Linked DNA regions of Mus musculus: all the other regions are reported to be linked to region 1. The links are microRNA targets in miRTarBase. Many come from high-throughput screens and were not tested one by one. Region 1 holds a microRNA gene; each other region holds the end of a gene's coding sequence. Distances are from middle to middle.

Region 1 (4,090 bases):
TCTCTCACACTCACTCACATATTATATATTAAATATAATTATATATATTATATAAAGGAAAGAAAGAAAAGAAAAAACCTAAAGCAGAAACACTGGGGTGCAAAGTCCTGGCTTGTCCAGAGTGTGTGGCTAGTTGAAAGATCCACAGAAGAGTAGAGCACTGTGGTAGGCTCCAAGGGGGAAGACAAAGGCCCCGCACTGAGCAACTTGACTGAATCTGACAGGAAAAGAACAAGCTCTATAGCCAACACACACACTGGCCTGAAGTGAGTGCCAGGGGAGCTGGTGACACAGCCAGGGACCTAACCTTGAAGGCCTCATGCACTTACACAGGAATGGGCTATCTCAGCCGAGTCAAGAACCGCTGACTTCTCAGCAATAGTGCCCTCACATTGCCCGTTAGAAGAAAACCACTCTGAAGACAGCTTAGAGACTGGAAATGGTCTCTGTTAGTCTTATGGTCACTATTAGGAGAAGATGGATATGTTTGTGCATGCTTATAATTCCAGCTCTTGTAGGAATACAGCAAGTTCAAGGCCAGAATGAGAAATGGGGCCATACTCCACCTTAAGTTTTAAACAAAGAATGAAAGAAAACACTAATAAGGAGACTGTACTAATCTTAGTGAGAAGTAATGGGCTTCTGAATTAAGGTGGAAAAGTGAAAATAGAAAGAGATATACTATTTTAAAATATCTTCCATTGTTGTAATATATGTTAAGAATTTGACCAATGGCTGGGCACTAGTGTTACATGAACGCCTGTTATCCCGGCACTTGGGAGGCAGGAGGCAGAGAGAGGCAGAGGCAGGTGGATCTCTATAAGTTAGAAGCCAGCCTGGTCTACAAGTGAGTTCCAGGACAGCCAAGGCTACACAGAGAAACCCTGTCTCAAAAAACAAAATAAAACAAACAAACAAATAGAACAGCGTATAAATACATAGAAAAAAAGAACAACAGAAACTTTCCTTCTATCCAGAGGTCCTCATCATTGGTGTTTAGCTCCTGGTTTGTGCATAAGTGCATAAGTTATATGCATATTGTCATGTGGGAAGGCAGGTTCTTATAAATAGTTCTATAATACCAACTCCTTTCACATCAGGGTTACTAAGGGGACATTTGTCAGCCTCTGTCCTAGCGGAGGACAGAAGACAGAGGGTGCTTGGAAGGCTTGTTTACAGAGATGCTGCTATCCGGACTTGCTATTGTGTAAGCCCCAGCAGTGTCCATACACTAGACTTCTTAACAGCCAGGCTGTTAGCCACAGCCAAGCCTGAAGAGTTACAGGCCGGGGGCCATCTTCACACTCACAAATCGTGCCTGGGAGCAAGATGAGTCTTCCTCAGGGTACAGCCAGCTCTCGGGGAAGGAGCCCTTTCTCTCTCTGGTCTCCTGATGGAACTCCTGTTGTCTGAATTCAGGCAGAAGTCAGCAGGAACTGTCCAAAGCCTGCTCTAGGGAAGGCAGGAGTTATGTGGAGGGCTGGCTGGCAGAAGGTGTCTGGCACTCAGGCCTGCTGATTCTGTCTGCATAGTCCTGGATACCGTTCTTGTGTGGAATACTCTATGTATTGTATATGTAATGTGTGGGATGCTCTATTGGTAAACACTTCCGTGTGTCTTCAGTTTTCTGCTAAGAGAAATGTCAACATATGATTTCCAAAGTGTTGAGTTCAGCCCAGGGTCCCCTCCCTGCTCTGCTAATTAGACTTTGGAACATTGAAGCTGGCTGGGGAAAATGACTGGATAGAAAACATTATTCTATTCATTTACTCCCCAGCCTACACATGAAAGCAATAACAGCACAATAACTTTATCTACATCTTTACATAAAGGTCTTAATTAACTCATTCAGTACATAAATAGCTATTATTTAGGGAATAGTGCTGGTGCTGGAAACACAACAGCCCGGACGCCGCCCTGAGAAAGCTTCTATTCCGATGATAGAGATAAATAGGAACTAAATGAGTAGGTGGTGCTGCCAGAACGCCAGTAGGCAGCATGGAGGAAGCCAGCAGAGAGTTTAACTGAGCATAAATTCTAACGTGGAGTGGAACAGCCCTTTCACAGGGGTCACATAGCGGCTATCTCACACATCAGATATTTGCATTGCAATTCATAACAGTAGCAAAAAGACAGTTATGAAGTAGCAACGAAAGTAATTGTACAATTGTGACATGAGGAGCTGTATGAAAGGATCATAGTGTTCGGGCGGTTGAGAACTGCTGCTCTGGTGTAGAGGACGTGAAGACATGGATGCTGAGGACAGGCCTCTCCAGAGAACCCAGCCAGCCAGCCAGCCGTGGGAAGCTTTGTAGTCAGAGCATCCTCAGCAGAAGCCAAACTGTCAGCCTGGGGACCCCAAGGACCTCAGAGGACTTGGAAACAAGGGCGGTCAGTGTGGCTGACAGGGTGGGAGGAGAAGGAAGCCAGCTCAGACATGACAGAAGGGTCAGACGTGAAGATAAGGAAGGTGCATTTTATTCTGAACTTGGTTTCTGAGAAAGCCAGGCCTATGTAGAGAGGCCCTGTCTCAAACAAATAGACAAGACCAAGAAACACCCCTGGGGTGCTGCTTAGAAAGAGGTGTGGAAAAGGAATCAAAGCAGCAGCAACATAGCTCAGGCATGTGAGAGTATGGACTTAGAGCGGATGCAGCAATCTGACGTTTGTCATACAGTCGCTCAGGTCAGTTTGAGAAGTGAGAAAAGGGACACAAGGACTCACTCCCCTCTTCCCCTAAGTGACAGAATCACACGTGGCACCTGCTCCCTGAAAGGAGAATAAAGAAGATCCTTAGGGGGCCAATCTCGCAGAGCACAAGTTGGGTTTTGCATGTTGACTTCCGGCACATTCCAGTAGAGCATCAGTGGGCAGACAGGTGGTCTGAGGCTCGGAGGCAGTGGGATGACTGCACACACAGTTGTCTTGGGCGGGTACTGTCAAGCAGCAGCATTCAAGAGAGGGTGCTTCTCTGGACCTGGCAGCCTGGAGCTCCTTACTGACTTATAATGAGCAGTTGGGGGAGACAGGTGAGCACAGGAGCCAGGCTGGGGTGGGTTTGTCTCACAGTAAATGTTTCCATGGCCTGTTTTCAAAAGTTACAAATAACAAGAGATAAAATCACAGTGTGTCTACTCTTCATCCCCAGACAGTCCTGGTCAGATCTTTGAGCTGCACATTCTTTTTTTTTTTAATTTATTTTTTTACACTCCATACTTTAGTCCCCTCTCTCCATCCACCCTCTGACTGTTCCACATCCCATACCTCCTCCCCACCCCCCTGTCTCCATGTGGATGTCCCCACCTCCCACCCCACCTGACTTTTAAACTCCTTGGGGCCTCCAGTCTCTTGAGAGTTAGGTGCATCATCTCTGAATGAACACAGACCCGGAAGTCCTCTACTGTATGTGTGTTGGGGGCCTCACATCAGCTGGTGGTGTATGCTGTCTGTTTGGTGGTCCAGTGTTTGAGAGATCTCGGGGGTCCAGATTAATTGAGACTGCTGGTCCTCCTACAGGATCCGCCCTTCTCAGCTTCTTTCAGCCTTCCCTAATTCAACCACAGGGGTCAGCTGCTTCTGTCCATTGGTTGGGTACAAATACCTGCATCTGACTCTTTCAGCTGTTTGTTGGGTCTTTTGGAGGGCAGTCATAGGTCCCTTTTTGTGAGCACTCAGTAATTGTGTCAGGCCTTGGGACCTCCCCTTGAACTGTATTCTACTTTGGGCCTGCCACTGGACCTTCTTTTCCTCAGGCTCCTTTCCATTTCCATCCCTGTAATTCTTTCAGACAGGAACAATTATGGGTCAGAGTTCTGACTGTGGGATGGCAACCCCATCCCTCACTTGATGATGCCCTGTCTTCCTGCTGGAGGTGGGCTGTGTAAGTCCCCTCTCCCTGCTGTCTGGCATTGCATCAACCTCCTATTTCCCAGGATTGTCTGTTTCCATTCTTTCTGCTGGCCCTCGGGGCTTCAGTCCTTTTTCCTCACCCAGTACCAGATCAGGTTCCCCTCTCCCTCACACTCCCTACCTCTCCTCCATCCACTTTCCCTCCCAGGCCCCTCTCCCTCCCTCCTCCCCTCCCTCCCTC
Region 2 (4,090 bases), not on the chromosome of region 1:
GACAGCTAGCACTGCTTTCCCATGGCAAAAAGTTTTTGTTTGTTTGGTTGGATTTGGTTTTTCAGGATAGGTTTCTTCTTTGTGTAAGAACAGCCCTGGCTGTCCTGGAACTCGCTTTGTAGACCAGGCTGGCCTCAAACTCAGAGATCCTCCTGCCTCTGCCTCCCAAATGCGGATTAGAGGCGTGTGCCACCATGCCCATGCCTAGTGTTCTCCCTGGCAAATTCAAAGGTGTTTAGGACACAGGTTATAATATTTTAAAGAGCAAATAAAGCCCAGGTGTGGTGGAATCCCAGCACTCTGGCAGTCAGAGGTCTCAAGTTCAAGGTCAGCTGGGAAACACAACGGTGCCCTACCTCAGACGAGCACAGTAAACCAAACCAAGAGGACTTAGCTATGGTAGAGAGGCTGCTGACCCCACCAGCATCCAGACCACTGTGTTTCCAAACAGGGATATTTCTCACAAATACTAAGTTTTTGTCCTGGTAACTTGGAAATGCAAACAGAACTGACCTATTGAGAGATGTTACATAGTGTCTTGTTTTTATTTTATGCATAAAGAGTGTTTTGCCAGCATGTCTACATAGCATGTGCATGTCTGGTGCTGACAGAGGCCAGAGAAAGGCATCTGATCCCCGGAATGGGAGTTACAAACGTCTGTGGCCTGGCTTATGGTTACTGGGACTTGCATCTGGAAGAGCGGCCAGTGCTCTTAATCACTGAACCATCTCTCCAGCCCCCTATGAAACATGTTAAACTTGAAATGACTTCATAGTCACTAAGAAGGTTTTTTTGTTTTGGAAGACAATGTTCTTACAGAAATAATCCACACAAGAAAACTATGTCATTCTAAACAGGGACAGGGCTTCCATTAGCTTCACGGTGGGGTAGAGGAAGAGACCGCTCTCTGTAAATGGTGTGAACTCACAGAGGACCCAACAGATCTGTGTCTGTGCACATCAGTCCGCCTGTTGTGGGACCAGCATCACGGCAGTGTCGACACAAACGAGGCTGGAGGAGTACAGTGTAATACACTCAGATACCTGCGGCCCTTCCTCCCCCATCCCAGCACACCGGACTACACGTGCTGCTGAGGCACTGGTACCAAACCTGGCACATAGTTCAAGATCAAGCTTATGCCACGGAGTCTCATGACCAATTAGTAATACAGGGGAGAGGTGAGGCCCACCTGCCACCATGAGATATAAGTACGTGTGTGTGTGTGTGTGTGTGTGTGTGTGTGTGTGTGCGCACGCACTAGTAAACAAAGGACATCAGACTGTGTTAGTACACGATTGTCTCTCACCCACATTATTTTACTTTCTTTATATGACAGTTTGGGGGCTGGAGACAAAACAGTTCTGACTTTGCAATCATGAAGATCCAAGTTAGGATCCCTGAACACACATGACACAAGGTGTCCTGAAAAGACTGATAATCCTAGCACCAAGGAACCAGATGGCCTCTTCTGTCCCACACAACATACACTTGAAGACACAGAGATTTACACACACAAAGTAATCCTTGAAAATAGAAAGTGTTGGTTTTTATCTACGAGACTGATTTCCTAATCCATTCATGAGTCTTAAATCATAGTTTCAAACAAAGTGATATACAACACTTACCTATTATGGAACATGTAGTATTTTGTTTTGTTTTAGTTTGAGTGTCAGTGTGTGTGTTGCTGAGGATCAAACACATCACCTCCTGTATGCTAGCCAAGCATTTGATTACTAAGCGATCTCTCCAGATCTTCTTTATGACGTTTGCTTGTAAGTGTCTTCATATATAAGTGAGGCTGGCCATCACCTCACTGTGTAGCCCAGGATGGTCTCAAACTTGAAACCCTCTTACCTCAGCCCCGTGAGTGAAGGGACTACAAACACGTGCAACCATAATCCAATGACACAAATTACTTATGTGTCTCCGGTTAATTAGTTTGGAATCATAAAATTGTTAAATTACATTTTTTGTATGTGTGTGTGTACATTCACATATCAAAGCACACATGTGGAAGTCAGAGGACAACTCTTAGGAGTCAGTTCTTCTATGGTGGCTCATGCGAGGGAGAAAACTGAGGTTAGTAAGCTTAGTGGCAGGCACCTCTGCCCACTGAGCCTTATGACAGGCCCAAGGAATTTAAATTTCTAAGAGAGAGAGATTTCAGTATAGTGGGTCTTGTTTTTTTTTTTAAACTCTCTTCCCTGGTATAGACAAGTGAAACCCCTGAAAATCATGATGAGTTTGCAAGGGAGTTCAAGTAAAAAGTACCCCTGGAGCCCAGCCAGCCTGCCCAGAGGCAGAGAGAGACTCTGGTATCAGTGCTGAAATGCAATCTCATTTCCCCTGTGCTAGAAGAAATAATTATGAGACTCTTGCGGCTAGAGAGAACCTTAATGTCAGATTCCGTTTCCTCTGTCAGATGATCAAAGTCAAATGGCATTTCCTTTACAAGTCATGAGACTAATTCTAGTCCGGTCCAAAACAGTTCCCTTCAACCAGAAGTACAATGCAAAATGAGTCACTAAGACGGTCACTTTCCTTATTCATCCTCTCTCTCTCCCTCTCTCTCTCTCTCTCTCTCTCTCTCTCACTCACTCACTCACTCACACACACACACACACACACACACACACACACACACACACACACACAAGTACAAACTTCTATTAGTTAAAGGAAAGCAGATGAAGAGAAACAGAAAACATATACATCTTAAGTTTCTTATGGGGCTGGAATGTAACTCAGTGGTATGGCTGCTCACCAGTATGTGCAAGGCGCTGAGTTCCAGCCCTGTACCAAGAAAAAGAATGCTGAATATATGTCCATCATATATTACACTTTAGTATTGTATTTTATAAGGCCATCATCAAGGTGCCAACTTCTAAGTCACAGATACCATAGCTCACTTGTGGATGGCACTAAGAGCCAGCGTCTTCTGGCTCAGGAGTCTGTTTTGCAGCTGCTGTGTGCCTTTGTACTGGCATCTGGAGGGTCCATTCCTGGTTCAAGGACAGAATCTTGAAGGCTGATGCTAGCTCTGATGGCTCTGGAAACAGGTGCTTTTCCTCATGAAAACATCCACTGTGGACTCAACAGACAGTACAGGAGGGTCAGCTCTGTGCGTCCCCCTCCCTTCTTCCAGCACCATCCGTGCCCGGCAGCCAAGGAGAAGGGAACACACAGGATCACGAGCGGATGCTGTGACAGTCTGTGAGAGGATACTCTCCATCCTAAATCACGAGGATGGCCCTGGTTCTAGGACTTTCCACCAGCAGCAGCAGAGAGCCTTCTCCAGCACTTATGGAGTCCTCTGGGATTTCCGGAAGTGCCACTGTCCTTTAAGTTCAGAAGGTGCTCTCCAGCAGGCAGTGGCAGCCACACCCCGTGGGACATACCTCCTGGGTCCGAAACCACTCCATCATGTGGCTCGTGTGGCCACCATGCCCACAGGTCAGGCAGAAGTTGGATGAACCCCGCACGGCCACATGGCAGATGGCACACTGGAAGGTGAAGCCTTTGCAGATGGCGCACTGGGTGCCACGGACCTCGCTCCGACAGTGACTGCAGTACACACCAAACTCTGCAAATGGGTGGACAGGGGCAAAGCAAGAGGAGACATTAGTTCTAATAAAAGCAGACTGAGTCTGGCTGGGTAAGGATACCGACTCCTCTCAGGACCCTGTCAGGCTCTGGCAGATCAGTCATTTCTTCCTTCTCTCTCATCCTCATGCATTTTCTTTCTCCCTGGTCAACCACGTAACGCAAAAACGTATCTACTGGGGCTGGGGAGATGGCTCAGCAGTTAAGAGCACTGACTGCTCTTCCAGAAATCCTGAGTTCAATTCCCAGCAACCACACGGTGGCTCGCAACCATCTGTAATGGGATCCCATGCCCTCTTCTGGTGTGTCTGAAACTGCAACAGTGTACTCATATACATTAAAAAAAGAAACAACAGCCGGGCGTGGTGGCACAGCTTTAATCCCAGCACTTGGGAAGCAGAGGCAGGCAGATCTCTGAGTTCGAGGCCAGCCTGGTCTACAAAGTGAGTTCCAGGACAGCCAGGGCTATACAGAGAAACCCTGTCTC
Region 3 (4,090 bases), not on the chromosome of region 1:
GTTACCCGAATTAGCAATGACACTTCATTGATTTACATAAACAAACATAGTTGGATTTTTAGAAGTCAAGTAGACCACATTCTAGGATGAAGTGCTCTCCAGAGAGACACATGCCAGTGCTTTACACAGGTATGGTTGGGGGTTTTCTCAAAGTTTTAAGTACATAATAATAATAATCCTTACCTACATAAAATACTAACATACTTGTGAGATTTTACTGACATGTGGTACTAAGTGTGCAGAGGTTGTGAGGCTGTAGCCAGGCTTGCACAGCTTGAGCAAATAAGCTGCCTAAGTTTGTCCTCATTGAAAATTTTTTCTAGAATAATCTTTGGAAGATTGCAAGTCTTTTCTCCAGTATCATGAATATCGCTAATGATTGGAGAATCCTCTATATACCTCCATGTAAATCCTAAGGGAATGGGTGGACTTAGCATTGAATGTATCTTTATGTAAATGGTTGTCGTTTCCCTTGGTCACAGCATGAAGAGGAAGTTCTCAACATACGCAGAGGACTACAGTCATTATTCAAGGCTCATGAAGGAAATGATGCATGAAATCTGGCTGCTGTCAATGAATTTTATGATTAGTTTTTTGTGTATAAATAAAGCACTAATAAAGTAGCTTTGCAAAGATGCATCATCTAAGCACCTCTATTCTTGTGTGCAAGAACCTCCCGACTCAAATGTTAGAGATGAAAAACATGACTCCAAATGCAGCTTGTATGTCCTATGAGCAAACAGTAAAAGGAGCTGACTTTCCTTGGATCATATTTTTATATTAACTATGTCTGTGAAAGTAGTGTCTGTACTAAAGTATTTATATATAAAGTGTAATTTTAAATTAATGCAGTTTTGGAATAAAATATACTGAAATTTGCATGATGGTTTGTAAATATACAAGTATTAAAATATTAGCAATTCTTTGAAAGAGGAAAAGGCTCTGCTTTAAGATCTTTAATTGTTAGTACCTTCATACTTTGAGATATATAGAGTTACAGTGCACTAAAAGTGTTAAAGTGACCTAAAGTTATAGCTATTTCATAAATATTTTATCACAGTGTAGAAGTCTTAACTACAAAGCAGGCTGCTTGCCATTTCTTTCTAAGCACCTGGTATTCACCTAATATTTTGTTAGATTGTATTTTAAATAAATGCTTATTTGAGTAAGTATAATTACTTTACAGTTACTATTATTGTGTTTTATGAACCATGACTTACAAGCCACCTTCAGTCAGACACTTGAAGGTAATACCAATCTGAAGGCTGTAGAGTATTTGAGCAATACCAGCATTTAATATTACAGTGGTGAAGTAGTTTCTTAGTCAAGCACAAATACATTCTTGGTGTATTCAATTGACATCAGCTAAGATTTTAAGATTTATGAGGAAAATGATGGGAGTTTCTAGTTTTAAGAAAGAGAGAGATTTTACATTTTATTAGCCCTTAGATGAACTGTGTGTACAACAAAGAACTGCTAAGATTAATTTTGTAACTCTTGTTTTTTGAGACATGGTCTGTGTAGACCTGGCTAACCTCAAATTCAGTTCTGCCTGCAAACATTAAAGCCATGGGCCCAAACAAATGTCCTTCAAATGATGTATTTGTAAAATCATTAGTTTCATTTTTTTTTCAAATTTTTATACACATTAAGTAAAGGTTATTCTTGGGAGTATTCTAAAATAATCTCTAGAATGAAATAATTTAGTTCTTTTTCATTAGCCAGAAATTTTGAGTGAGATCAAGGGTTACATTGTTTTTGAACCTTAATATATACTGTGATGCCAAAAATTTATACTGAAAAGGAACTTGGAGAAATGGGCTGCCCTCTAATGGAATACCACCTTTAACAGCAATAGTCTTTGTTATTTACCTAATTTTATGTGCAGTTTTTATAACTCAGGCAAGTTATTTTGGCTGTGATTTTGAGTATAGAAACTCAAAATAGATTTGATAATTTACTTATGAGTTGTTCTGTCATTCATGTTTAATAGATATAACATATTCATTTATTTTTAAATTTAGACCAGGAGTTAGAAACTTGCTATTCAAGGTCCATGTGGTAATATGCTTTAGGATTTATGGGACAAGAAGCAATTTAGAAATATAATGTGTGTATTTACATAATTATTTCTAATGTAATCATTTAGAACTACCAGAGCTGGCCAGAGAAACAGGTAAACTACCTGCAGATCTTTACCTCTTCCTCCTCTCCTCCAAATCTAATCCCCCAGTCTCATCCGCAGATCTGTAGCAAACCGTCTACTATGGCCTCCCCTTCCTTCTGCCCCCATCTCCAACAGACTGTGCAAATATTCTCCAACGTTCCTTCCCGTATTCATCCCTTTATCCCCTGCAACCTGCAGGCTCGGCCACACCAGCCAGAGAAGCAGATAAGGGTAACTGCAGACCTTTCATCACCTTTCCCTCTTCTCCAAATCCAATCACCAAATGCCACCCCCAGCTCTATAGACCACCTGTCTTCACCTCTCTTTGCTCTCTGCCATTCCCAAGATGCTAAGCAGATCCCAGTAGAATACCCTGCTTTCATTCCTCCGGTGGGACCACCTATCTATCCCCATTCCTAAGAATCCGCTCCCAATACCTAGAAACATATTCTATGTAGAAGCCCCCCAGTGGCCACACCTGGCAGGATTCCAGAATTCCCTACCAGGCAACACAGGGCTACCATATTCCCTTAAGAACCAGAGAGGGCAACAGAATGAAAGAACAAAATACCCACCCAACAAGGAGAAGACCACATGTCAACAACTAGAATTACAATCCTCCCAAACCCAGATACTTAGTAACATAAACACAGTAACAGGTCAACGTCTTTACTAGAGCCCAGCAACCCCACTAGAGCAAGCCTTGAGAAATGCAACATAGCCGAGCAATAGAAAAGCTCTTAAGACAGCCTTGTGAATACAGAGGTCTTTAAAGAGGAAATGAATAAATTCCTTAAGGAAATCTATGAAAACACAAGCAAGCAGTGGAAGAAAATGAGTAAAGCAGTTTAGGACTTACAAATGAGAATAAAGAAAACCCAAACTGAGGGAAATCAGGAGATGAAAAATTTAGGGACTCAGATAGGAACCTCACAGACAAGTCTCGCCAATGGAATATGAGAGATGGGGGAGAGAACATCAGGCATTGAAGACAAAGTAGAAGAGAGCAATACCTTGATCAAAGAAAATGTTAAATCTAAAAAATCTCCAGCACAAAACAGCTAGGAAATCTGTGATACTATAAAGACCAAATCTATAATTTGATAGGGATAGAAAAAGAATCCCATGTCAAAAGTACAGAAAATATTTTCAACAAAATCATAGACATTGTCCTTAACTTAAAGGAGATATCTATCAAGGTACAAAAAGTATACAAAATACCAAATAGACTGGACCAGAAAATTTTTCTCTCCGCTCATATGGTAGTTTGAATGAAAATGACCTTCATACACTCAGGATTGGCATTATTTAAATGAATTAAGACACGTGGCCCTGATGGTGGAAATGTATTCCTAGGGTGGGCTTCAAGGTTTCAGAAGCACAAGCCAGGCCCAGTGACTAACAATCCTTCTGATGCCTGCCACTCCATATGTAGAACACTCAGCTCCATGCTGCCATGCTTCCCAACATGATGGCAATGGACTAAACCTCTGAACTGTAAGCTAGCCCAGTTAAATGTTTTATAAGAGTGGTCATGGGTTGGGAGCTGGAGAGATGGCTCACTATTTTAAGAGTACTGGTGGTACTTCCAGAGGACCCAGGTTCAATTCCCAGCACCAACATGGCAGCTCATAACTGTAACTCCAGTTCCAGAGGATCCAACATCCTCACATAGGTAAATATTCAGGTAAAACACCAATGCACATGAAATAAAAGTAAATGTATATTATATATATATAATATATTCACTTATATATTTACTTTTATTATATATACATATAATATATAGTCATAGTGTCTTTTGACAGCAATAGGAGTGGAGTATTGCTATGATAGGCCACATGGTACTTTTTTTGAAGGAATGTGGACTTTGGGACTTTGGATTATAAAAGCAGTTTATTACTAAGTTGTAAAAAGTTTCCT
Region 4 (4,090 bases), 16 Mb from region 1:
TTTCATTCCGGGGAGAAATGTAAAGAAAGGGTCCCAGCCACTCCTTGTTCATTCCAAGCCTGCAGCCTCCTCTCTTCAACAGGGCACTAGATCTAATGCAACCTTGGTCTTTGCACTTCAGGTGAACCTGGACTCTTGCACCAGAGAGGAGACAAGCCGGAACATGTTACAGCCCACAATAACCTGTTTTGATGAAGCCCAGAAGAAGATTTTCAACCTGATGGAAAAGGATTCCTACCGCCGCTTCCTCAAGTCTCGATTCTATCTTGACCTGACCAATCCTTCCAGCTGCGGGGCAGAGAAGCAGAAAGGAGCCAAGAGTTCTGCAGACTGCACTTCCCTGGTCTCCCAGTGTGCCTAATTCTCACACAGAGGCAGGGAGCCCAAATGCCAAGACTCTATGCTCTGAAAAACCTGAGGCCAAATATTGATCTTAAGCACCAATGCTTTATCCACATTGTAGCCTAGTGTCCATGCTGCCTGCCGCGTGTGAGTCACTTCCATGTAAAACTAGCCTTAGTTGTGGTGTTGGGGTTTTCACTAGGGTAAGACCCAATTTGTTTTAAATTTTCCCAAGTCTCCTTAAGGGTGAGCAAGTTTCCAAATAATGGCTCCGTAGGTCTGGATTTTCAAAGATGGCTGGCAGTCTGCCCCTTTCAACAGTTTGACCTCAAGTTAGTTAGTTGGTACACTTCATGTGACATTCCATGCACATGTAATGTTGGCCAGCAGCACTTCCTACGGACTCTCAATGTTTAGGTGATATTTGTGTATGCATATGTATACATTAAAATATACATAACATATGCATATACATTCTGTATATATTATACCTATGTATTCAATGTGTGTGAATGTGCATGAATATGTATCTATCTATCTATATATGTATATACTGACACATGCACACACATTTCTTTAAGAAAAGATGGGAAAGATCCTAGGTGCTCAAACTGGAGTGTGTAGACATGCTTGCATGCATGTTCTGATTTCTGGTCCTTCATACCGTGTCTGAACAGGGCAAACTGAATTAACTGCCATGCAGGCTAAGAAAGGAACAGTAACTTGTGGGGAATGAGTTCTATAGAACCACTGGGTCTTGGCGGAGAATAGCCAGGGCCTTTGTGTTTAGTTGTTGATGGCCTCCACATTGAGCACTAAGCTAAGGGGTGAGCACTCTGAAAACTCTGCTGTCTGACTGACACTGAACTGCCTTGCATCAGTGATCACTACTGGCACTTTTTAAGTCCCTCTGCTGATGGCCTTCCCTCCTTTGCCTGGGTGCTCAGGGTGTGCTGATTAGCAGCTGGGTTGGTCTAGAGCTGAATGTTTGAGCTGAATGAAGGAATGTGGTCCAGGCTTTGCTGCCTAGCCCTACCAAGGACTACTGCTTAGGTGAGGGCAGAGGACCTAAAGATTATCTTAATTCTTTCCTCTTTTGATAAGGTGCTCTTCTTTTCCTTCCCCTCAAGAATGTCACCTGTCAGAGGAGCCTCCTTAGTTCCCTGTGGTTGGTTGTTCACTTTAAAAACCACGGCTACCTGCCGTGGTTCTAAGCTACATGCCTACATCTGTAAAGCATCATCGGGGGGAAAGGTTATGTTTTATCAGGAGGAAGGAAGTTCTCATGAACTGCAAAGCCCTCTTTGGTTTTCTGCTTTGAGGTAAGAGCTTGTTCACCCCATCCCAAACACCAAGGCTAGCAGAGACCAATGAAAGGAGAGAGGAAAGGAAAAAGAAAGAGAAAAGAAAACAGAAGAGGAGAGGCTATCAGTTGGTAGGACTACTGCTTGGAGCTTTTCAAGGCACGTGAAATACTTGAAAATTTCTCATTTGTGTTATTTATGATGTTTTGTACAGTGTTTTTATTATTGTATTGTTTTATAAATGGAGGTACAGGATATTACCCAAATTATTAATGAATGCCCAAGAAGTAATTTCCTTCTCATTCTTCTAAAAGTACTGCCTTTGAGAGCACACACACATTCGTGCAACACTGCAGTCATTGCTCCAGTTTAAATTACATGTGTGAGCACCATTGTGGCTAGTAAGCCAATGTACCGGGCTGCAAAATGAAGACACTGGAATAGTGTGTATCCAAGTCTCGTCGTATTGAAGAAATAATTTTCTAAGGGTACTCGTTTCGTCTCTCTTGACAGTCTTGCTTGTAATGTCCCCAGAGCTCCCCCATCAGTGTTCCTAACTCCTTTTTGTTATACACCCCATCCATGATCATGTCTGTATAACTCTTTGGTCTTGCCCTAATAGTATCATGACTTTGAGATTGTACCTGTACTCACAGACTGCTGTTTCACAAATAGGTCTGGAAAGTCATTCTGAATGAGAAGTAAATTATTTTGTGTAATACATCCTGAGTGTGTTTTCAATTGTATTTCCATCGCTCCTTGGAATGGTGAGCCTGCCTGCCGCTGGTCCATGTAAGGAATGCTCCTCCCATATGCATGTCTGCTTCTGCCATGTGCTTTATAGGCCTCAACACTGATGCTTCCGACGAAACACACAAATCTTAATGATGACAGTAAATAAATGCTTCCTACAAAACAATCTGCTTGGAAACACATTAATGATCCAGCGAGGCATGCTGGAAGAAACAGCGGGGCATAGAGTGCCTTTAGAAAATGACTCACACAGAGACTTGTATCCCTCCCCTGCCAACTCCAGGAAGGAAAGCAGAAGCCGTATCATTTAGACTTTGGCCCCTTTTGCTGATCTTCTTGCTTCTGCTCACAAGCCCTGGGCTGTTCTAGGTTTGAAGAGTAGGCAGATCTAGTGGTCTACAGGTCTTCAATTGGGGTTGGGGGAAGAAAATTCCACAAAACAAAACAAGAAAACAAAAACCAACAGAACAAAATACCACCACCAAAAATCTAAAAAAACATCAAAATAAAACAAAGGAAACAAAACCAACAAATGGGGTTTCACTCAGTCTGTAGTCCACTGGGTTGTAACTTAATTGTGAAGACTAGTTTGAGCTCAAATTCATGGCAATCCTCCTGTCTCATCTTCCCAAGTCTTAGGGTGACAGGCACAGCTTTTCTTTTCCATATGATTTTAAGGGTAGGGCCTCCCTTCTGAGCAGCTGTCTACTTTCAATTACCTGCCAGAGTGCGAAAGGTTGTGGAGAAGCTGAGGAAACTGAAGGTACCTAGAGGTGTCTAGGTGTTGGGAACAAAATAAAATCCAGGGGGGGAGGGGGTGCCGGGGAGAAGTGGGATAGGAAAAAGATGCCCAACGCCCTGTCAGAGTTTCCCTATTCTCTGGTCAGTCAGGCATGGGAAGGCTGCTACCTACCCTATCCACTCATCCCTGGGTGGGCATTCCTCTATCCCACTCTTCAGGGGGTGGCCAAGGGGCAGCCCTGCCTGGGGACCCCCCCAAGCTACTTTGCTAAAGCCACCAGGGTTGTGGGAGAGAGGGAATGGGGGAAGAAGTTCCCAACACTAACCAGAGTGTGCAGCGGAACTTGAAGGAGCAGAGACACTCTATGGTTTAAGAGCTTTATTATAGAAATGCAAGGGAAAGAGAGAAGAGGGAGGGAGGGAAGGCTAGAGAGAAAGAGGGAGGAGAGAGGAGAGGAGAAGACAAAGAGAAAGGGAAGATGAGAGAGAAGTGAGAGAAGAGAGAGGTGAGAGGACAAAGGAATAAGAGAGCGAGGTACAGGCTGAGCACCCCTTTTTATGGTCGTCACTGTTGCTAGGTAACTGAGGAGGAGTTTAGCCTGAAGGTCAGAAGCTTGGGCCATTGCTTAAGTAACTACTGACCATGCTTCTCTTGTGGGGGCTGTGGGAGGTGGTACCTTAGGCAGGGGCCGGAGTTCCAGGAGCATGAGGGAATGCCTACCATGTCATGTAGGTGAATTATGACCATGGGGGTTCAGACCTCGGATCGACTGGAGACCAGCCTGCAATTCCGCACATCTGGGAGAGAGCTTTCTGTCGCAGCTGTTCAGTGTCATCTTAGCACTTTGAGAATTTCTTTCTTTCTTTCTTTCTTTCTTTCTTTCTTTCTTTCTTTCTTTCTTTCTTTCTTTCTTTCTTTCTTTCTTCCTTCCTTCCTTCCTTCCTTCCTT
Region 5 (4,090 bases), not on the chromosome of region 1:
GATACCTGGGCCCCATGTTACTGAGTCACAGGTGCCCACATACAACCATGTTTTTCTCTGTTGCTTCTAGAATGGTGTCTGCTTCTGTTGGTCAATATACATTTGTTAAATATGTGAATGGACATAATTTTTTATTTGTCCATTAGAATCTATATCTCTTGAATTTTTAACTAATATAAAACTATAAAAAGATCAGCTGCTTGGATCTTTTATCCAACTTAGGAATCCAGTTGTGTTAAGCTCTGCATCTTAAACATTTCCAGTAAAGACATGACCATTATGTGTGGGAGGACAGGCATACTTTAGAAATGCAATGTTTTCTTAACCACCTCAAGAGTTAAAAGAAATGCTCTCTACAGACTCCCGAGTCCCATGGCAAACACTGTTAACAATCACCGTCTTCTGATTTGTACTCAGTACAAGGTTTTTTTTTAACCTAAGCCTTTCCCCCAATAACCTGAATTAAAAAAAAAAAAAAAAACAGAAAACTTACAAATTGTGATATTTATTTGTTGTTAGTGCTACGAATCAGATTCAGGGTATCACACATGCTAGGCAAGGGCTGTAGCACTGAGTCACCCCACAGCCTGGTCTGCATTTGTAACATGGAGTCATTGCCATGATTTTTATTGGTAATTGTATTTTTATTTATTTATTTTGAATACAGATCTTTCTGCAAGAGTAGATGCAGTTAAGGAAGAAAATCTGAAGCTAAAGTCGGAAAATCAAGTTCTCGGACAATATATAGAAAACCTCATGTCTGCTTCTAGTGTTTTTCAAACAACTGATACAAAAAGCAAAAGGAAGTAAAGGGCTCACCTCCCTCTCTTCTATGGATTGCTGCTTTTTTTCTTCCCCCTTAAGGCTTGGATATGATCCAAAAGTTAGAGTATCTTTGTTCTTCCCTGAGTATTTATAAAGAGAATGTCACATCTAGGTAACACTAATGCTGAACAGGAGCATCTCTGAGTTAACGCTATATGTATACGTTAGTCTATGAAAATGTGCACATGTAGAGACTTTATATTAGAATTACAGATATTTATGAAACTTGAAGATGAATGTTTTGCCAATTTGCTTATATATATATAGGTTTAGCACTGTCTTTTATCATAAGCCTAACTAGTAAAATATACAAAAAAATAACCATGTTGTGAAAAGTGACCAAAACCATGTACTGAATGCACAGCTTCTGTACCTTGTGCACCGTCTTGTGCCTCTCCCATCTCCCTCCCTGACGGTAACTTCAGCAGTTTCTCCTACAAGAGTAACCTAAACTAGAATTGTTGACACTTAACCAAAATAAGACACTTTCTTATCTAAGGCTTGCCGTTTGTGATATTTAGTAATAAGATAGGATTGCTGGTTTCTCTTTAATCAATCGAAAGTAGATTGAAGCTATAGAAAATGAAGAGTTTTCTTTGAAATGTAAACTGCCACACTGAGAAGCTAAAAACTCCCTATTGCATAAAATAGTTCATTTGGTGTTGAAAAGATAGGAATGCTGGTCATATGTGTGTGAGAAATTAAAAAACAACAAACAAACAAAAAACTTGAGAAAAGATAGGAATAAGAAGGAAAACTGGATTAACAGAAATAACCAGCTCGCAGTGTTTTCCCTCTAAATGTGTATTACCTCTGGCCCACAGCTGCACTTTGGGGACATATATGAAAGTGGACTGAGTCTAATGTAAGTGGATTAAGAGAGACTAGTTAAGAGTTTGGTCTCAAAGTTTATTTGTACCCAGGAAATGAACTTTTGCAAAATTAATTGAGAGTATATTAATATCAGAATCATGAATATAAGAGTTTTGTATATGTGATAATTATTAACCTCGGTATTTTATCTCAGTTGTTTTCCCAGAATTTCTGTAAACTCAACTACTTAGTTTGCAGAATTTTAGTCATTCTTTTAACAAATTTTAAAAATTTAGTTTGTAGCTTCCATTTGATAAGGAGCTGATATCAGAAATAATAGTGAAGTCTTATAATAGGAAAGATCCACTAATGCAGCTGGTGGCTCTTAGGCTGGGCTGCTTTGACTTGTGGAATTATCTAATGTATTAATGTAAGCCTTGATGAGTGACGTTAGCTATATGGATGTGTAATCCTCACATTGCAGACATTTTGCAACCCTTTTGTGACCTTGTTACAGATATTTAAAATTGTGTTCAAGTTCTGCTTTGCTGTTTAATAAAAAGCTGTTTCAGAGGTTTTGTGTGTGTGTGTGTTTTGATACACTTGCTAAGTACATGTGCATTGGGTATCCAGGGTTTGCAGTATCACATTGTAATAGTGTATCTTATTTAAGCACCCAAGACTGCTACAGGGCAGTCTTTAGTAGCACAGTGTTGCAGAAGCTTACCCTTTATTGAAGTTCTAGGGAAGGGGGCTGGCTTAGGGTTAGGCTCCTTCCCCTCACTTGTTCCCAGGCTAGAGGGCTCTGCTGCATAGATTGTTCTGTCATGGCTTCTGCATCATCAGTTACACTATTCATTCTATTTACAGGAAAGAGTTTGTGAGTGCCCAGAATCTAGGTATGAAGAGTTCTGTCTTGAAATGGTCCAGGCCTCTTTACATCCAAAGCCTCGGATTGGCTGAGCAGTGTGATTTCTTCCATGTGGGAGGAAGTGAAGGACTTGTCCTAGCAGTCCTAGCCACAGCTTGATCTCTTGCTACAAAGTCTCTGGAACTATGTTTCCTCACAGAGAAAGCATTCCAGCACCCCACCTCCGTGCCCCAATCCAGCTAAGGATTGAGCTTAAAATCCAAGATCTCCCTTGAGGTCCCTCAGTTTATCTGTTCTCACTTTTTCCCTGGTCTAGAGTATTATGGGACAGGATAGCCAAGTAGAAAGCTCTCAGTGTGCGATGTGGAGTAGAGACACTTAGATCTGAGGCAGTGGTGGAATGGAACTTGGACACAAGTCCCTGGATATAGACCCTGACTCTGACCAAGGCTTTCCTTTCTCACTAGCTTTTGTGGCTTTCCCCTTCAAAGTTATTCCATACCCACCCCACCTCCACCCCTAAGGTTGAGAAAACCGTCCAGTTGTTGGCAAGAGCTTGGTGCCCCTTATTTTAAGTCAAGCTCAAGGGTTTTGTTTTGTTTTGTTTTGGCTAGTATAGCGTTCTCAAACAAAAAAACTGAAGCCTTTTACCTAGTTTACATCTCTTCCATCTGTTTGCTATATGCACTGAGGTTAGAGGACAGCCTACAAGAGTCTGTCCTATTTCCCACCATGTGAGTTCTGGGGACCAAGCTCATGTAGTTGGACTGTACCCTAGCTTGAGCCATCTTGCTTTGAAACCTTTTATCTTTGTACTCTCAGTCTGTGTGTCAGGGACAGTCAAACTTTCTTCTAGCCCTGACTCAAGCTTTTTTTCTCTAGGACTTGACTCTGTAACAGAGGCAACTACCTTAGGGCCCACTGAAATGCAGGTGGGAGAGCTGGCCCTGGGGTCTGCAGAGCTGGAGAGCTAGCCCTGCCCCTCACCAGTTGCAACACTTTGGTAGAGTGGGCTCTGCGCCTCACCTGGGCAGCATAATAAAGCTGTTCCTGCTGGAGTGGTTGTGGGTGAGCTGACCCCCAGGGGCATGAGAGCAGAAGAGCTGGCTCTGCCCCTTGCTGATTGGCATTGGGTAAGCCAGGGCAATGCTGGAGAACTTGCCTGGTAGTTTGGGTGCTGGAGAGCTGGAGGTCTGACCAGCTCAGCTACAACCCAGGCCCAAATCTAGAGCTTTAAGTTGGCCCACCCCAACATCCACATCATCTCTGGGCTTCTGGAGCTCTTTAAAGGACTGGTCCTGCAGACCCAAAGCTGTGGGATCTCAGTGACACAGGTAAAAAAGCAGATCTGAGAGGAGTCCTAGGATCCAGTATTGATAGTCCTGGCCTCAAACCAGACCAAGGACTCATTGCAATGAGCATTTGCAAGTAACGGAGTGTGAACAAAAGGGCATACTGTGGGACACAGTCTCACATACTATAGCTTCCATAACAATTTGGAGGGCAGGTATGAAGGGATGGGGAGATGAGTAGGATTGGGGTACAAAATGTGACATTCACAAAGAATAAAAAAGTTAAAAA
Region 6 (4,090 bases), not on the chromosome of region 1:
TTCATAGGTTCCCTACAGGTACTTTCAGCCTTTTGGCTTTGGGCCCCGCGGCTGTGCTGGGAAGTACATCGCCATGGTGATGATGAAAGTTGTCTTGGTTACACTTTTGAGACGATTCCAGGTGAAGACACTGCAAAAAAGGTGTATTGAAAACATACCGAAAAAGAATGACCTGTCCTTGCACCCAAATGAGGACAGGCACCTTGTGGAAATAATTTTCTCTCCAAGGAATTCAGACAAGTACCTCCAACAGTGAAGAAGTGTGGCCTATCTACTCTGGGGCATTACTTATCCGTAATTACATGGAAACCATCCATTTTATCGAGTAGGTGGCGTGAACCTCACCATGAACATTTGATGGTCTGTAGAATTTTATGATCATAGCTCCTATGGTTTGTCATCAAGCTGGGCATCCATCCAGGGAGCCAGGATGCAAAAGAAAGGAGTCTGTGTTGGGGACCAGTGAAGAAACTGAAGCCTTAAAGGACCAATCCTACAATATATACCTTGGGAAAGACAGACCATCAGTAAAACACGTCTGGTCTCCTGCTAGAGTTCTACAGCTGTTGTCAGCACATCGAAATGACTCTGGCAGAAGTACTTAAGTTATTAGAAAGGCCAGGTCAACATCCCAGCATGTGGGCCAGGCATAAATGAACAACAGGACTTTCATATGTGTGTGTGTGTGTGTGTGTGTGTGTGTGCGCGCGCGCGTGCGCGCCCACAAGCATGTGCCATGTACGTATGCAAGTCTGTGTGTGTACTTGTGCATGCATGAATACATAGTGTGTGTGTGTGTGTGTGTGTGTGTGTGTGTGTGTGGTAGACTCTTTCTACATTAAACCCAGTTGCTTACGGTGGATCCACATGTAAACTGTTTGGGGGCAAAAGTGAAATATAGGGTGTCGTTTCTTACTCTCAATTTGTGCTCCCAGGAGTGTAGTTAGACTGTAGTAGGTATAGATTCAGGTAAAACATGCCTAAGTAGTATTAGCCTGAGTAAAATATAGCTAGGACTCTATGTGTGGTGTAGGGGGAAAAATCACATGGTGCATTTCAAATAAAGAAGTCTTTTTAAAAAAAAACTTTGCATTGTTGCTTAGTTCCTTTAGTTCCATGGAAGGAAATGCAGCAGGCCAGGGGGCCCCAACTTCTAAAGAACCATCTCTTCCTTTGACACACCTTCTCATTCCTCTCTCCCTCTCTCTCTCTCTCTCCCTCTCTCTCTCTCTCTCTCTCTCTTGTCATGACCCCATTCTTTCAAAAAATAAGGGTCAAACCTTCACAAATCATTTTTTTCATCCTACCTCAGATTTAAGTGTTACCCCAGAGGCTTACACACATGACATGTTTCCATCGAGTGGACAGCCATCATGTCCCATGCGAACATTCTTTTTGTTTAGCAACAAGGCAACACTTGAGTGTAAAACATGTGTAGGTGTTTTGTTATTTTATCTTTTCTCCATTCCCAATCTAACTTTCCTTATCCACTGTAGTCTCCCCTCCCCCAGCCTGAAACCTGCTTGCTCAGGGGTGGAGCTTTCTGCTCATTTGTTCTGCCACGCCCACTGCTGGAACCTGCGGAGCCACACACGTGCACCTTTCTACTGGACCAGAGATTATTCGGCGGGAATCGGGTCCCCTCCCCCTTCCTTCATAACTAGTGTCGCAACAATAAAATTTGAGCCTTGATCAGAATAACTGTCTTGGCTACATTCCTTTCTCTCGCCACCTAGCCCCTCTTCTCTTCCAGGTTTCCAAAATGCCTTTCCAGGCTAGAACCCAGGTTGTGGTCTGCTGGCCGGACACAACAATCCACTGTCAAGATCAGCTTGGCATAGGCACACTTGCTCATGGATAGCCTAAAAATTCAAGTATGAACATTGTCAGGAAGGACATATTTGGGCTTGAATTTATATGATTTAAAGGGAGCTAATATATAATTATCCACCCAAATCTGTCTGTTTCCAGGTCTAGATAACCATCCAGATTTGGCTCCAATGATCAAGGTGAAGGTTAGCATATTATGATAATCCACTCGCTAATCCTCAGTGCACTACTTTATCTTTCCCTGTGGAGCTGCATGACTGAGGAGAGCTCTTATCAGTGTTCTTCACTCACCGATTCTCCTGAAGTGTCTACTTTTATTTCACATGTAAATATGCACTGAAGGCATATATTTTATGCTGAAGTAGAAGTTGGAAGAGTTGTATCTAGATGATATGGACACAAAAATATGTTGAGGAAAAAAACAAACAGAAGTTGGAGGCAGAAACACGGAGAGGACAGAAAGAGAAGAGAAGATTGAGGGAGCATCTCCCATTATCAAATATTTGGTTAACTGTTGAACCTAGCATCTTCAGACAAACACCATATGTTCCCATGACTGAGGAATCTGTCTGTTGGCTTTCCAGTAGGCTGATGGACACATGTTTGAAAACCCTAAGTGCTCATTAATTAACAAAGGTGCCACAGATTCTATTTTTGTCAGCTTCCAAAAAGGTAGATTGTGTGTTGCCAGTAAAATACATGCACGTAAGCTTTACCACAATCAAGTCGTGAGAACGATTACCCCTCTCCTCTCAACTGTGTTGATCACCTTCCCCAGGCTTTAATGGGGATGCTGTTTCTCTTTCCAACTGGAAAATAGTGAGGTTCAGAACTCTTCTCATATTGGGAAATGACCATTGGAACTTGCCATTTTGTATTTCTAAGTATCACGTTTCACTATGTGAGTATGTGGTGTTGACCATCTCCAAATAATACTACCTGGACTCTCTTTTGTATCTTGTATCAGTTCTGGGGCTGACCTCTGACTTAGATTTTCAGAAAGATTTGCTAAACTGAACTTGGTAATGAATTGGAATACATGATATTTTCAGTTAGGTACTCAACTTAATTTAGGAAGTTATTATCTCCATTTTATTATTTTATGAAGCATCCCTTCACATCCCCATTTGTTTGTTTGCTACCCACTGGCCAGTGTTTCCCTCTTTTATGCACATATAACCCATCACATGTGGGTAACCTTCAGATTGTTAGTAAAACCTAGGTTTTTAAACTGAACCTGTCACTTGAAGAAGTGATCCAGTTGGGACTGGAACCCATGACTTCTGAACTTTATTCCAATTCATTAAAAAATGACCTTTAAGCCAGGTAGTGGTGGCACACACCTTTAATCCCAGCACTTGGGAGGCAGAGGCAGGAGGATTTCTGAGTTCGAGGCCAGCCTGATGTATAGAGTGAGTTCCAGGACAGCCAGGGCTATACAGAGAAACCCTGTCTCGAAAAACCAAAACCAAAACCAAAACCAAAACCAAAACCAAAACCAAAACCAAAACCAAAACCAAAACCAGCCAAAACACAAACACAAAAATCAAGAAATAACAACAAACAAAAACAAAGAACCCAAACAAACACACACAAATGGCCTTTATCTCCCCCATCTTCTATCGTGATTCTGCAGAGCATAACATTTTCAGGACAGTGGTCAGTCTCCCAGAGCCTATTCTAAGGCATTATTATTTGTCAGAGCAGAGGTTCCAACTTGGAGTGTAGGCAATACGCCACTCCCTAAAAAAACACAAAGGGCAGGGTAGCTCTGTCAGCTCTCCCAGCCTCACCTTCCTCTGAGGATGTGCTTCCAAGCTTGGAGAACAGCAGTTCTCAAATCAGTCAGCAGGGGCAGACACAGCACAGGTTTGTGAGCTTTGAAGTTTGGCAGCTTCCAACAGAGGGAGTATAGCCTTCCCAAGCTTCTGGCAGCCTCTCACTATGTAGTGTGCCAGACGGTATGGTTGGTACTATTGTCTGGTAGTCCGAAATACCCTTCAATATCCATTTATTTTGGATTCCCAAGAGGCTGACTCCAGCCGTTCACCCGAGTTTAGCTCAGAAGCAGTCCAGTGAGGACTGTGACACAGAAAGTTACTCTCCGTGGTTTGCTTTCTACATCTGAACATAGCTGAAACATAGTGTCCACCTGCTGGAGCTGTGACACACTGGAAACTACCTGCTGGCTAGTGACTATTCAAAACATATGATCCAGGGATAATAGTAACTTATTAATTTAGCCTTAAAAATATTTATA

Evidence for each region. Region 1 holds the annotated microRNA mmu-miR-664-3p (UAUUCAUUUACUCCCCAGCCUA, at 1,760-1,781, shown strand). A microRNA usually pairs through its seed, bases 2 to 8, with sites in the 3' UTR of a target mRNA and lowers its output. Matches are read on the target gene's strand: a 7mer-m8 pairs with bases 2 to 8, a 7mer-A1 pairs with bases 2 to 7 and ends in A, and an 8mer does both.
Region 2: miRTarBase lists Wdr59 as a target of mmu-miR-664-3p. Seed matches in the 3' UTR shown: 7mer-A1 at 2,544-2,550.
Region 3: miRTarBase lists Sycp2 as a target of mmu-miR-664-3p. Seed matches in the 3' UTR shown: 7mer-m8 at 573-579.
Region 4: miRTarBase lists Rgs4 as a target of mmu-miR-664-3p. Seed matches in the 3' UTR shown: 7mer-A1 at 861-867 and 7mer-m8 at 1,918-1,924.
Region 5: miRTarBase lists Scoc as a target of mmu-miR-664-3p. Seed matches in the 3' UTR shown: 7mer-A1 at 1,797-1,803.
Region 6: miRTarBase lists Cyp19a1 as a target of mmu-miR-664-3p. Seed matches in the 3' UTR shown: 7mer-A1 at 775-781.

What each region holds. Positions count from the first base shown.
Region 1 is chr1:185,241,253-185,245,342 of GRCm38, forward strand. Mir664 (microRNA 664) reads left to right here and starts at 1,723; the gene lies at 1,723-1,791. The region is part of intron 9 of Rab3gap2 (RAB3 GTPase activating protein subunit 2); the gene reads left to right. Snora36b (small nucleolar RNA, H/ACA box 36B) reads left to right here and starts at 1,674; the gene lies at 1,674-1,786. It overlaps Gm34882 (a long non-coding RNA gene), which reads right to left. Exons shown (of 3, transcript XR_373795.3): 3 at 2,457-3,085.
Region 2 is chr8:111,447,497-111,451,586 of GRCm38, forward strand. It overlaps Wdr59 (WD repeat domain 59), which reads right to left. Exons shown (of 26, transcript NM_001170742.1): 26 at 1,288-3,583. The coding sequence ends at 3,348. Among named protein-coding and RNA genes, the nearest start is that of Gm24793, 31 kb to the left of the region's middle.
Region 3 is chr2:178,342,800-178,346,889 of GRCm38, reverse strand. It overlaps Sycp2 (synaptonemal complex protein 2), which reads left to right. Exons shown (of 44, transcript NM_177191.3): 44 at 483-1,595. The coding sequence ends at 557. Among named protein-coding and RNA genes, the nearest start is that of Sycp2, 63 kb to the left of the region's middle.
Region 4 is chr1:169,739,952-169,744,041 of GRCm38, reverse strand. Rgs4 (regulator of G-protein signaling 4) reads left to right here. Exons shown (of 5, transcript NM_009062.3): 5 at 122-2,565. The coding sequence ends at 361. Among named protein-coding and RNA genes, the nearest start is that of Rgs4, 5.6 kb to the left of the region's middle.
Region 5 is chr8:83,432,618-83,436,707 of GRCm38, reverse strand. It overlaps Scoc (short coiled-coil protein), which reads left to right. Exons shown (of 4, transcript NM_019708.4): 4 at 668-2,216. The coding sequence ends at 810. Among named protein-coding and RNA genes, the nearest start is that of Scoc, 8.0 kb to the left of the region's middle.
Region 6 is chr9:54,162,923-54,167,012 of GRCm38, reverse strand. It overlaps Cyp19a1 (cytochrome P450, family 19, subfamily a, polypeptide 1), which reads left to right. Exons shown (of 9, transcript NM_007810.4): 9 at 8-1,076. The coding sequence ends at 256. Among named protein-coding and RNA genes, the nearest start is that of Cyp19a1, 29 kb to the left of the region's middle.